2 linked regions of the Astyanax mexicanus genome follow. The protein of the gene in region 2 interacts with the protein of the main gene of each other region in a pairwise test. Links are inferred from orthologs where the notes say so. Each region holds a gene or a part of one and is shown on either strand. Other genes may lie near its edges.

Region 1 (7,117 bases), on a different chromosome or scaffold from region 2:
TGACTGCGCTGATCAGCGCTGAGAAGTGTAATACTCACTGAGTGTGTTCATGAGGTGTCCACCCCCGTCCTCCATGCGCTCCTGAGTGGTGAGGATGGGCATGCTCTGGGTGGGGGCAGAGCCCGTTCCGTGTCCACTTGACGGAGGACGGCGCTCATCCTCCGAGTCACTGCTGCTGGAGCTGTCCTCACTGCTGGACGATGAGGAGCTGTGAGAGTCTGAGGAGCTGTCGCCACTGCTCATCTGATCCATCACTCGCGCCTCAGCCATCAGCTCTACACAACATATGGAGACACGAGAGGATGTGCAACTGGAAGAGCAGTCTATGAACATGCTGGAACCTTCTGCGCCATAAAAATACTGGAAGAGTTAATCTGTTGTTTATAAAATGTGTGAAAAGTCAAAATTGTTCAATGGAGATTCAAACAGAATGGTAATAAAATCCCCTCCTGGTGAATAGTAAATTGATCATTCTGAAAACTATTGCTTTCATACAATTTTTGACTTTCTTAGTTGTTATATAAGAGTCACTCTTCTACTTGAAGAATATAATAAGTACTTTTTTTATATCAAACAGCCAAAGCACAAACTTTACCTCTCTCAATATCATCCATCGGGGACGCAGGAGACATCTTCTCTTTAGGGGGGGAACTCTTAGAGCTGGCTGAAGCTTTCCCTCCACTGCCACTCTTCATCTGCTGACTGAGCCGATTGGTCTGCTGCTCCAGACGTGACTGGATCTTACTGCTGCCCTCAGCCCTTTGTGTAGCCAGAGAAAGAGAGAGAAAGACGAACATTTTATTAGGTTTCCTCTGTGGACTCCGGTCTCCTTCTGCAGTCCAAAAACATGGAGATCAGGTAAACTGTGTACTCTAAATTGCTCAGAAAAAATTGGGTACTCTAAATTGCAACAATTGGAAAAAATCGGGTAGTTTAAATTTTCCAAGAACAATGAGGTACTCTAAATAGCTTGGAACAATTGGGTACTCTAAATCGCAACACTTGGGAACAATTGGGTACTCGAAACTGCTTGGAACATTTGGGTACTCTAACAATATGATACTCTAAATTGCAACAATTGGGAACAATTGGGTGCACTAAATTGCCCATAACCATTGGGTACTCTAAATTGTCCTGGTGTGTAGGTGTGTTTGTGTATGATTGTATGCCCAGCTATGGATTAGCACTCTGTGCTAGGTCAGCTTCTCAGTGCTGGATGCAGAAAAGTTGTTTCCGGTTAAGAGTACGCTGTGTGCAATTGGCTGCTGCTACTCACCAATGTGTGTGTGAATGAGTGCTGAGTGTAATGGTTGTGTGTATAAGTGTAACTTCATTCACACAGTGTGTTTGACAAAGCCTTTCAGTGCAGATTTTGCACCTGTATCACTTTATATAATAATTTAGCACAGAATCAAATGAAACGCAACTATGGTAAAGAATACCTACCTTGTCTTTTTAACTGCAATGTTGCTACTAAGCTTCTCCAGGCGATACTCTCCGGTATCATGGTTTACAATAAGAATGCACTCCTTCATGTACGGCCTTTTGGACCCTTTGAACACTGTGACTGGAGCAGTAGATCCCTGTGAGGGATTAAGAGTAATATTAACACAATATCACTTTATATTCTCTTCAATTACTGTAGAACACACAGACCTACATCTGACATACCTCCAGGTTAGGCAGTGTTATAGTGACCTGTTCTCCTTTGCCCACCTCTAGATCTCCCTCACAGGTAGTGTCTATGGAGGCGGGCTTGAAGTCATCTGCAAAAACACAATACAGACATCAGACATCAGAGAGGAGTGTTATAAGCACATATTCTAAGAAAAAAATATTTGTTATTTTCATTACATGAAATTGGGAAATCAAATCAATGAAGTTGTATATGTAAGTGATTAATTAACCAAATTAAATATTTACACTAGGGATGATATTGCAAAAACAAAAAACAAAAAACAAAAAAAAAAAACATATATAGAAAAAAAAAATTTTTTTTTTGGTTTCACATAATGCCTCAAAACTTCACATTTGGTTTTGTTATGCAGCTAGACCACTTTGTTGGGAACAATGCTAAAGCAGTGGTGGTTATTATTATCCTTCCAAAAAAATAAAAATAATGTGGCATAAAGGGTTAAAAATTAAATTACTCGGTTAACTAGCAAAACAAATGTTGCAAATAGGGTGAAATATGATACACTAGGCTTTAAATTGTTGTAAATACAAGTTTACACTTTTAAACTGCTTCTACATTGATAGATTTTAATGTACGTGATATTTTGACTCATTATATACCAAAAATACATGTGAATAAAAACTGTAACTTAGTTTAAACTTTATAAAAAAAGCGGAGTTCAGCAGCAGTTGAGCCGCAGCTCCAGCAGGGGGCGCTTCTACACGGTGAACTGCAGTCTAAAGTTAACAGTTCAGTTCAAACAGAAGAGAGAAATTAACCCAAACACTAGAAAACCACATCAATAATATGATTAGTACAAACTATGAGTAAATATTACTGCAATATAAATATGGATTAAACGCTATTTATTACATTTAACACACTTGTTATTAGCCAGCAGGTAACGTTAACTAGACTCCTCGCCGCCAGCTGCCTCACAAACTGCCTGTAACTAAACTACATTCATTTTCAGAAAAACAGGAAAATCCACGAGTAACATTTTTAGAATTAGTAGTATATATAAAACAAGTAAACACCGATAAAACAATGGGTAAAGTAGCATATATGTGTTTAACAATATAATATTTTCGTTTAAATGTCGATATAAGAAACGAACACTTACATCGCACCGTATGGAAGGCACTTTTTGGCTGTTTCTCAAAGGTTTCTCCTAATTTGAGAACATGTTCTTGATTGTCAAAGTTTGGGTAAGCTGTTCCATTCATTCTAAATCCAGTTTTCTACCAGATTCCAACTTTCCACGTCTTTCCACACCATCTACAGCGCAAGTAACTCTAGCCACTTCAGGCGCGCCGCGGACAACTCAACTCGGTCCTCAAAGGGATTTTCAGCCCATTAGCGCTCTTCAAAATAAAAGTCCTCACCAACCAACCACAGACAGGTAGTTTAAATATAAAACAAATTAAAAAAAATGTATTAAACACTGAGCCCCTAAAGAATCAAGATAGATATGTAATATAAGAGCTACTTAACTAAGTTTATACATTTTATAGCATAACTTTTAAATAATATATTTACATTTTATATTTTGTACCTTCAACAAATTAACAAAATCAATATATCTCACTGTAAACTGAGCGAATTAATTACTGAGAGAACTATGCAAAATTTCAGATAATTAAATAAAATCCTAAATGTTAATATTTAATTTAGATCACCTGCCTTTCTTCCATCTATAAATATGTGATTATACACAATATACAGGCAGAAAAAAAGCCTAACACTAAAACCCTTACAGGTTTTATTTGTAAACAAAAGATCCACACAAACACACATACACTGGAATCTATTTTTATTATAGCTTCCTGTAACAATTTTAAAGATAGACAAAATATATAAAGAAGTTAGAATACATAAAGATATGTAACTCATCACTGCAAATTATACCCAATACCTATATACATTAAACGATTTCTAATTAAAGAAATCTGTTTTTTATGAACACAGACCTGCAAATATGACTTTAAAAAGGGACCAGGTCAAAACATAAGAACATGGGTTTTAAAGAATTTGACATACAAAACAATATGGCATGAATGCATAAGAAAAACACTGAAGTGCTGTAAATCATATAGATCATGTAAATCAATAAAAATCAATGGAAATGTTGAACACAGATGTCATCCAAGTATGTGGTAATATTGAGAGCACAGTGATACACTTCTAGAGCCACAAGGGTATGAGACTAGACATGGCCTTTGCATATATATGAGCCCTAATAAGGAATAATAACCACTTTTCTTACATATGTGGGTGTACATTGGCAAACTACATATCTAATAAAATCTTTAGATATATATCAAAGAGCACCACGGTCAATGAATCATACTTAGATATGGGGCTCTAACTGCAGAAGTTCCAATAGAACAGAATGAAAATACAATAAAGGATTTTATTGTAGGATTTGATTATATAAAACATCTGTCCTGTATGTTAAAACATACAACATTGTTAGAGAGATAAAGGGCTGGTGTGGTTGACAGGATTAAAAACCTACAAAGAGGCACTTTGAAATAAAAGTCTGGTTAAGTGCAGAAAACAATACCAGTGCTGGAAGGTGCTGTTTTGCTCACTGATACAATTTTGTTTTGATGCGATTAAATATATATATATATTAAATATTTTTAACATTAACATTTTTTATGTTGCTGTTTGGTGTCGGCAGGCTTTAGTGGACTATGTCCAGCCACATCATAATAATTTATAACAGTTTTGCCGCCATACATCCCAAAAGGTCAGTGGGTCAAATTAAATAATGCAACATTTAATGTCTGCCTGTGACCAGAACCCATTTCTGACAATGAACAGACAACAAACAAGCAACTTGGAAGTGCTACTCTAGATCAGTTGTGAGGATCTTGTTGTTGCTGCAGCTACGCTACAACACAATGAAATAAAAAAATGAAGGAAAAAAAAAAAGACTGCAGGAAATGGAGCACAGTTGACAAGAGAAAGGAAAGGAAGGAAGGAAAAAAAACCCAAGTTATAAAAGGACTTAGCAGACAAGCATGATGATTGAGAACTGTGTGTGAACAAGTGCTGTGTACATCTGGTTTCTCTGCTTCCTTTTTCCGTTAAGGGGAGCTACTGAAAAAACGTGTTGCACAGGACTGAAACTGAGCACCCAGGGCGTGGAGTTTGCATCTAGTTTAACTTTCAAACAGCTTCCTAAAGGCAGTGCAGATCTCCTGGATCATGTCGGAGGTTGTGGTGGCGCGACCATGCCGGTCAAAGGCTTGCCTGTTACACTGCCTGGTCAGCGAGGTAGCGGCAAATGCAGCCACGAGCGTAGGGTTCATTCTGGCAAGTGAGAGAAAGAGAAATATTCCCACATATTTAAATTAAAACATTACTGACACCCAACTAAGTGCACTACTCCAAACAGTGATTAAACTGGGGACTAGGGCTGTTGTCGACGTTTATTAAATAAATACGCTGTGTGAGAATAATTGTCACTTTTTTTATAAAAAGGTTTTTGAAGAACAAAAAAAATAAATAATTATAATTTGGGCATTTGTAATTAAAATTTTAAAATGATAACCAGCCCTACCCTTTGGTTGCATCTGGGGTTGAGCTGACTGCCCAGTGGGCGAAGACACCTAAAGAACCGGAGAGAAGATCTCCCTGCCCCCCACATCGACGTCCGCTCCCTGAATGAATACAGCTTAGCACTGGTGAAAGAGAGACACCAAAGAAAAAAATAAATAAATAAACAAACAATATCTTAAACTTAAATAAATAAATAAATAAACAAAGCTATAGACCAGTGGTCTACACTGGTAATACACTGGTGTATTGTTTTCTTTTGTCTAAATCCTGATTCTGAGAGTCTCAGTAGGATAAAATACTGTATTAACCAAAAAACTACAGTCAATTAAATAACTTAATACTAACTTACAGACTGCAAAAGAGTGGGCAAGCCGCACACAACAGAAGAATGAAGAACAGTCTGTGAAAGCTATGAGGACATGTGTATATGTTTGTGGATTACACGTCTATCTTACTGTGCAAAAATAAGCATGTGTGCCATTTGTGGTACATGGTGTAAATAGTTTGAGAACCACTGCTTAGCTCACAGAGAGAGTGCAAATATGTCTTTATGCTGACCTCTGTTGCCATCTGTGATGATATCCTCCTCTCCCTTCAAAACAATGGTCACATTGCCCATTGCAAGGCTTAGTTGTTGGGCACAACTCTTGAGGTCTGTACTGTCCAGGGGCCTGTGGTGCTAAAAATAACAAGTGAAATAGTTCAGCATTCTGTGAACAGTGTTGGGCTTTCTTTATAGATTAACATGGCAACAGTATAACTGATTGTTGACTATTGAAACTGCTAGTTAACAAAAGACAACAAAGCAAATCAAACATGAATACAACCCTTACCATAGCCTCATAGAGACGAGTAAACTCCATAAAGTTGGGCGTCAAAATGCCCCTCTGATAAAACTGGATGAGTGAAGGGTCCTTGGCAATTAACCAAAGCCCATCCTGTAGGAAAACACACAAAACATGATTTAAAAAATAATCTGAATTTTTACCACTTACTTACTCTTTCACAAATACACATTACATTTATTTATAAATGTGTTACTTACTGCATCAATAACAATGGGGATTCCTCTGGATTTTGACTTTTCAATAACCTCCTATAACAAAACCACAAGGAAATGTATTAAGGAGTATATTATCACAATACTAATGCCATATATTATATACAACCTTCAGTTGTTAGTCTTTCCCCCTACCTTGGCAGCCTTGAGGATCACATCTTCCCTCCCTAATCCAGGACCCACCACCAGACTATGTAGCCTGGGAAGCCATTTCTCAATCTCCTCCACAGCATTGGGACTATCTCTGGAAGTTGCAAAACACACAAAACTCTCATTGTTTACATCTCTAATTATTAGTGAAGGTATAATAACCAACCTAAGGATAAGACGAATCCACTCACAGCACAGGATGAACTATGAGCTCAGGACTATAGGACTTGATCACAGTAGCGGCATCTTTGGTGCAGAACACATGAGACAAATCTGCGCCCTAAAAAAAAAAAAAAAGAAGAAGAAGAAAAAATGCTGCAGAATTTTCAAAAGCACACAAAAAACCCACACACTTATGTGACCATACATTTATATAGCAGATTTCTGGAAACCTAAGAACGCCTTATAGACACATTTCACTCAAAACCATTTATACACATACACACACAGGTGAGAAGCGGTAGCCAATTGTGCACAGCACACTCTCAACCGAAACTTCTCGCACACAATTCTTGCACACAGAGTATTCAATAAACCAATTTAGAGTATCCAATTTAGATTATCAATTCTTTCGGGGGAATTTAGAGTTTCCAATTTACAATATTAAAATTCTTTGGGGCAATTCAGAGTGTCCAATTCAGCTGATCTCCATATTTTTAGAC
Region 2 (6,857 bases):
TAAAGTTTGCAGCCATGCTTGAAAAAAATTGCTTTTACGAATTGCTGATTAGTTATTAGTATTTGTTTTACAAAACTAATAAAAACATATTGCTCAGAGAAAGAGCTTTAAAATCTAATTTTCAAAGGTGCCACATTTTGCACCATGCTCTGCTGTTTGTATGCATCTCTCAATCTGAAGACTCTGTTGAACAAACCCAAGAAGTAAATTGTATCTCAGTGTGTCTAGCTTGGTGATAACAGCACAGTACGTTCTTGTTCTTGGTTTACTAGAGATGTGGACATGAACACACTGTTATGTACCGGGTTGGGAGATGCCAACTGACCAAAATGGGATTTCTGATTCTGCAAATGTCTTAGACATTCCTGTTAGCGGTATTTGGTCTATATAGTGATTTAAATACCATTCTGTAAAATAATGTCTACTTAACTAATTACTTAAGTAAACATATTAATTTTCAGATACATTTTTTATAAATCTTTTGATCCTATATGTACAATTTGGACCCTATGTTGATTTTAGAAAACTTCCCATGATTAAAACTTGTGCAACACATTTTTTATGTTTAGATTTTAGATGTTTAGATGTTGTGACTCATTCCGTGTCAGAACTGTAACCCACGCCTGTAATATTACTCATTACTGGTGAAACAGAGTGATTCTGATTCACCTCTGCTTTTGGAGTTGTTGAGTATCTTCTGGGTTTTGGAACGAGTGTCGTACTGACTGTGGGACATGGGTGGAGCTGAGCTCCAGCAGTGCTGGGGTTCCTCAGGGGCTTGGTTCTGAGGTAAAGTCCAGCTCAGAGCCTCCTCCTGGGGTTCCTCTTTGACAGCCTCCCCCTCTCTTTCTACTCGCTGGTACCCTCGCCCAGACTTGTCACTCAACAGCCGCATCATACCTGTGATCTGCTTTTTAATTTCCGTACCCTCGTCACCTAGCCAGGCTGGAAGAGAAATAGTTAACACAAAGGTGGTAAAATAATATTACAACACAAACAATGTGTACAATGTGTAAGTGTACGTTTAGTTTAGTTCTAAATGCTGTATAATTACCCTATATACGTAAAAACAGCATGTAGTTATAAATAAAAAGCAATATCGGGAACAGTACCTTCATTCTCTGATATGTCCAGTGGTTCACTGTCTGTGTCATCATGGTCAGGGCTGTCAAATCCAGGCCCATAGTCTGTGGGAAATGTTTCTTTATTAATTTACTATGTTAAACATAAGTTTAGTTCACTATACACAGGTTCAGGAAACTCTAAATGCTAAAAGGATGAAACTGTGCTTGAACATCTCCATAAAAGCTTCATAACTTCATTACACAGATTCTTGAACGTTTGATTCATTTTACTGAACCAATTCTTTCGAACTGAATCTTTCAATGGAGCAAATGTTTCAACGAATCATTGATTCACCCGTAGATTTGAAGTTTTTGTTCTCATCCAATTGAGAAGAACAGAGAAAAGATCTGCACACTTTTAGTATTTTAATCTCAGTGTCTTCATGAGGGAGAGTCACCTGGAATAGTTTTCTCAGTGTCTTGAAGGATTTTCTGGGGGTGCTAAACAATAGCTGCTGCTTTTCCTGCTGTGAAGCTCCAACTCATCTCAAATCTCCTATCTCAGTTGGCCAAACACTTTTTTGATTTTACAACATAATTCCATAGTGTCCCTTATTGTTTTTATGTCTCTAACATTAAGCTACAATGTAGAAAATAAATAAGTAAAGACAAACTTTGAATGAGAAAGTGTGTCCAAACTCCAAATGTTTGACTGATACTGTATCAAAACATAAAAATATTATTTAGATTTCTTAAAGCATTTCCTTGATTTACTAAGTTTAATCAATTGTTTAATAACTTGTTTCCTTGGTTAAACTAAATCATCCTTTCTAAACTGAGGGAATCGTTTAAGAAATATAGAGAACAGTCTATCAGACTATGTCTGTAAATATTCGTTTTTCTACTTTAGACCGTTTAGGGTTCTGTCATTTTACCTATACCAGCACTCTGTAAAAAAAAAACTAAACTTAAAATTGTTCTCCTTAATGTAATTTTTATGCCAGATGAACAAGAAATATTGAATTGCACTTTTTTATTCAGTTTATGACCTATAATACATGGAGCGGAATAAGTTTAAGTATTATTCCTTGCTATAAGATGCTTCTGCAGACCTTTCATTTCTGACATGCAATAAAACGTTGATTCAGTTCGAATCGGTTCGGGGAATTCAGAGAAAAAAGAACCGAATCAGAAGAACGACTCGGTGTCTCGTGCGCACCTGTAAGCAGCCGGGAGAGAGAAAGAAAAACGGCGAGATTAAAACGGCTCAGTCCGGAGAGTCACATCATAATCTCTCCTGGTGAACCGGTCAGACATGCCGGTACCACCCGGGAGACGGAAGCTTGGAAGCGCGCGCGCATCTCCAATAGCAACAGCATCAGCATCACTTCAGCAGCATCAGCATCACTTCAGCACAGACGTGTTTTTTTTTTCATGCTAGTGGTCATGCAGTTAATGTGCAGCTCTCTCTCTCACTCTCTCTCTCTCATGCCCCCCCCCCCCCCCCCCCTCCCTCCCTCTCCTATTGTCTGCTTGTTGCTGGCTGGCTGTCTGCGCCCCTGCTGCGCTCATTAAACCTCCTTACCTTGCTCGCTGACCAGTTTAAAGCTCGGAGATTTTCTGCTCCGTCTCCTCTCCCCAAACTCCATTGTACCGGAGACAGAGCGGACCGTGCGCGCGCGGCGGTACCGGAGTCGCCCTGTTCATCAGCAGCAGCAGTGGCGGCGGCGGCAGTGGCGGTGGCGGCGGCGGTGGCAGCAGCAGCAGCCCTGCAGGGACCGACCGTGGTCCGTCTGCTTAATCAGTAAAAACTCATCAGAGCGGCCACAGCTCCCGTCTACCGCCTCCCTGCCCGGCCACAGCTCCCCAAAGCCCGTCAGAGGCGCGTCTGAGCTCGGGGCATCGCGCTCTCCGCGCTGGCGTCCATTCAGGGCCGCTCGTTTGTGATGTAAATAAATAAATCAGTTAATTCTTTAAAAAAATCGTCACATCTAGTCCTTTGCGCCACCTGATGGTAGCTAATATTTTGTGGGGCTCAAATAGTAATGTCCAGATCCACTCTGCTGGACAAGTACCACTTTTACACAAAAAAACTAAGTTTTCTCTTAAGTTTGATCCATTTTCGACCTCACATGGATATCGATTATCTAACAAATTAATCCATCTCACAATTCAAATTCCACTTCCATTATCCTTTTTAAACAGGTCAGTGTTGGTGTGATTAATGGGATGCATTGTATAGGCAATAGAAAAAAGACTGTAAAGCTATAATGATCATGGTCTTTTAAATAAATAATTACACAGTGTGTCCAGGGAAGCATTTAGTATATGAAACATATAAGACTGATATCTCCAGCTGGGGTATCTTCTTGCAACATACCTGGGTCGACTGTTGTAGGCTACTAAAACAGCCCACAAGTGACCACCAGTCAGGCAGTTTTAACTTAGTTTGTACCACATGTGATGTATTACCCAACCGCATGTAGTTACACACAGAACCAAAAGAGGGCGCTGCACTGCGCTTTCTCCAATCAATAATGGTATCTCTGTGAATGGTTTTAAAACTCCAGCTACTTTTTAAATTTAGGACAACATAATTATATAAATATAAGCTTTCTATTTGACATAATAAACTAAATGGTTAATAGATTTTAATAGTTTTAAAATGTTTTAGGATTTAAAATCCTAGTACTGCAACAGTAAAAAGAAAAATATGGTTTGTTTATTTGTTTAAATATCTGTTGGTAATCCGTCACCATCCTGCTTTCTTTTTGATAAAAGAGACATCCAACCACCTTACATCGAACCCAAGACTTATAACTAATAAATATTAATATGTGATAAAAACAGGAGATCTGCTATCCTTTTGTCATCTAGAATATAAACACTGATTTCACACAAATGTCACTTTTTTCAAAGATAAATGGAAATATATATATAAAAAAATACAAATAATCACAGTTGCATATAATCACTGCCAAGCATAAACCAGCGCTTAAATGTGAACTGATTGCAACCATCTTTCGAAAATATTTTTTTTTCAAACGATTCAAATCACTTTTAAAAAATATTTAATCTTTTTGAAAATCGATTGGAATCACTTTTCAAAAATGTTTTTCATTTATGTTTGCAAAAGATATTCAAAAGAGAAAACTAAAGCCTTCTAATGTGGATGTTAGCTATTTTTTATATTCATAAATGTAAAATTAAAAAGAGCTTTCCACTCTCTATGCTTTTTAAAATTGAAATAAAGAAGCATATGCCAACTTTTGTATTGTATGTTTACTGTTCAGGGATGGTTTATGAAATGAAAAGCTCAATAGAAATAAAAAAGTATTAAATATTTTAGTTAATAGAATTTATTTGCTATATAGATTTAATAGTAGAATATTACTAATATTATTTATTTTAGTGCATAACGGACAAAAACAGCATTCTTACATTTTTTCCATTACTGGAAATAATTCAGATCTGAAAATAGCTAATTTTAGACCTAACCTTTGACTGTAAATTGGTAATGTGTGCTGTAATAAAATACAACTGTATTTTAAGTGTGTATTAACTTTTGTCTGGAACTGTACATCAGATAAAGAAAATGTGTTAATGATAAAAACGTGTAGCAGGGTTGTGTCTGTAATTCCAGTGGGAGTCGCCAGAGAGCGCCACCGCGTTCTGCGGCCCCCAACACAGGCAGGAACTCACCGGATACAACTTCCACAACAGTCTGGGAGCTGTAGGATTCAAAATCAGCGTGTTTAGCGAAAACCCGCTACTCTGCGCTCATAAACATGGATATCCTAAAAGCCGAGATCGCGAGGAAGAGGAAGCTGATGGAGGAGAAACAGCTGGTTGATGTGAGTGATGAAAACAAGCTCTTTATTCACGGTGGTAGCGCTGGAGTTTTCCATACGGCGGCTGTGCTCCAATCTGAGCTGCATCTGTCTGTGGCGTGTTGTCCAGCTAGCTAACCTGGCTAGCTAGCTGATTGGTTCCTTTTTAAATTAATGTTAGCTATCAGCGCTGAACACTCACATTGTTACTCCTGCGAGTGCGAGAAAGTCTGGACTAAGAGGCTACCAGTTGCTATTTAGCACATTAGCTAGCTAGCGTTAGCATGCTGCACACTACGTTGTTCACTAGATTCAACTACACTTGGTAGCTACTGCACTAGGGTTAGAGTTCTAAACCCACTCACAGCCCGTTAGTTCTACTCAGTTGTTCAGAAAACGCATATAAAATGATGTGTCCCAGTACGCATTTGGTATGCTATCAGTATCTAGTACATATGATTAGATTTAACTCATACTAGACCTACGATTTTTCTAGAATGCACTAGATACGTGTAGCCTACTATGTAGTGGATACACAACGCGGATTGGAACGCACCCGGCGATTTTGTTGTTTTCCAGCTGATGTAAAAGCCAAAGAACGAGATCTAATTAAACATTTATGTTCAACACGAGGTCACCTTAGGAGCTACTTTAAAAAGTCCAGCTAATGTTTATATTGTTTAAAATTAATCAAGAATGGACGTTAAGCAAGGATTTAGATTTATTTACATTAAACATATTACTAAATATATTAAAACTATATTAACAAGTGTAATAGAGAGGAGGATTATGAGCTCAGACAGTTGTATCATGTACAGCTGTTTTTATGGATTAAGGCTGCAACTAATGAGAGTCGACTAATTTGATGATTTGATAACTTGGTTTGTCCCGATTAGATCCAGTTAGGGTTTGGCCTAGTTAAATCTGGTTAGAATGGTTGTTTGTTTAATATCTGTCTTTGGCCCTTTTAGAGACGGTTAGACAAGGTTGGTTTGATAACTGATAGAAATGATAGAAACAGTTGACAGATTTAATCCATTTTAAATGCCCAGAAGTCATTTTAATATTAAATGATCTGATATTTATTGAGTGTTTATTTTGTTGTGTCTATCACTAACCCAAACATGTCATAATAACACTTTACCCTTCTACTTTTTTAGAGCTCAAAGAAGTACTTTAAGCGTGCTGATCTAGCCCGAAAGGAGGAAGAAGAATACTACAAAAGATGTGGCTACAAGGTTAGTGAACACTCAGCATTACTGATCTCTTACTAAATTCTCACAAATAACAGCTAATAATCATTTACTAGAGGTGATGTCTATTTCTGGTTCTGACTTTGGTCAGATACTCTGACTTACATTCTTAAAACTATAGGTGCTTCAGGTGGGTTTTTGTGTGATGCCATTGTAAAACAATGTTTATGTAGAAGTTTTTGATATGAAGGTTTTTACTGGATTATCGATGATTTACACTCATATATTTGAATTAAAAACATACACTTTATGGACAAGAGTACAACATTATTGGGACACACTTTTAATTATTGAATTCAGGGGTATAAAAGCAAGTACCTTGATATACCTAGACATGCAGTTGTCATTTACAGACATTTGTAAAAATAATTAATTAACAAACCCCATAGATAAATAGTTAGATTTTGATAATAGTAGTATTATGTCCTAAAAGTATTCTATATACTGTGAAGCGTTAATGCTTTTTGTATGACTCTTTTTTTTTTGCAGTTTATGTGCATTAATAAATATTCAGCACTTTAGTATTGTGGTACATTACATTGTTCGTATGTTACATTATTTTGTTATATTATTATTTCACACAAAATCAGACTCATGGTAAGTTCTACGGTATGTTTAAAGTGTTACACTATACTACACTACACTATACTAACAGTATAATTTTGATGTTTTGCAGTAGAACATTTTTTAAATTAATAAAATGTTTCAGT

Evidence for each region. The genes of interacting proteins can lie anywhere in the genome.
Region 1: the proteins of bend7 (region 2) and eaf2 interact in binary tests that used the Homo sapiens proteins (3 or more experiments, as listed by UniProt). The two-hybrid records come from large-scale screens. The link is inferred for Astyanax mexicanus from reciprocal best matches to the Homo sapiens genes BEND7 and EAF2.

What each region holds. Positions count from the first base shown.
Region 1 is NC_064418.1:8,903,308-8,910,424, forward strand, and holds the start of eaf2 (ELL-associated factor 2), read right to left. Parts: upstream 3,026-7,117; 5' UTR 2,902-3,025; coding exon 2,799-2,901; intron 1,767-2,798; coding exon 1,672-1,766; intron 1,584-1,671; coding exon 1,447-1,583; intron 760-1,446; coding exon 596-759; intron 276-595; coding exon 39-275; intron 1-38. Other genes in the region: naxd (ATP-dependent (S)-NAD(P)H-hydrate dehydratase), read right to left, coding at 4,846-4,996, 5,247-5,367, 5,804-5,924, 6,079-6,183, 6,291-6,341, 6,441-6,549, 6,647-6,735. UniProt on the Homo sapiens protein: Acts as a transcriptional transactivator of TCEA1 elongation activity. Acts as a transcriptional transactivator of ELL and ELL2 elongation activities. Potent inducer of apoptosis in prostatic and non-prostatic cell lines.
Region 2 is NC_064416.1:15,392,786-15,399,642, forward strand, and holds the start of bend7 (BEN domain-containing protein 7), read right to left. Parts: upstream 3,028-6,857; 5' UTR 2,714-3,027; coding exon 2,650-2,713; intron 1,188-2,649; coding exon 1,113-1,187; intron 946-1,112; coding exon 670-945; intron 1-669. Other genes in the region: prpf18 (pre-mRNA-splicing factor 18), read left to right, coding at 4,853-4,918, 6,055-6,132.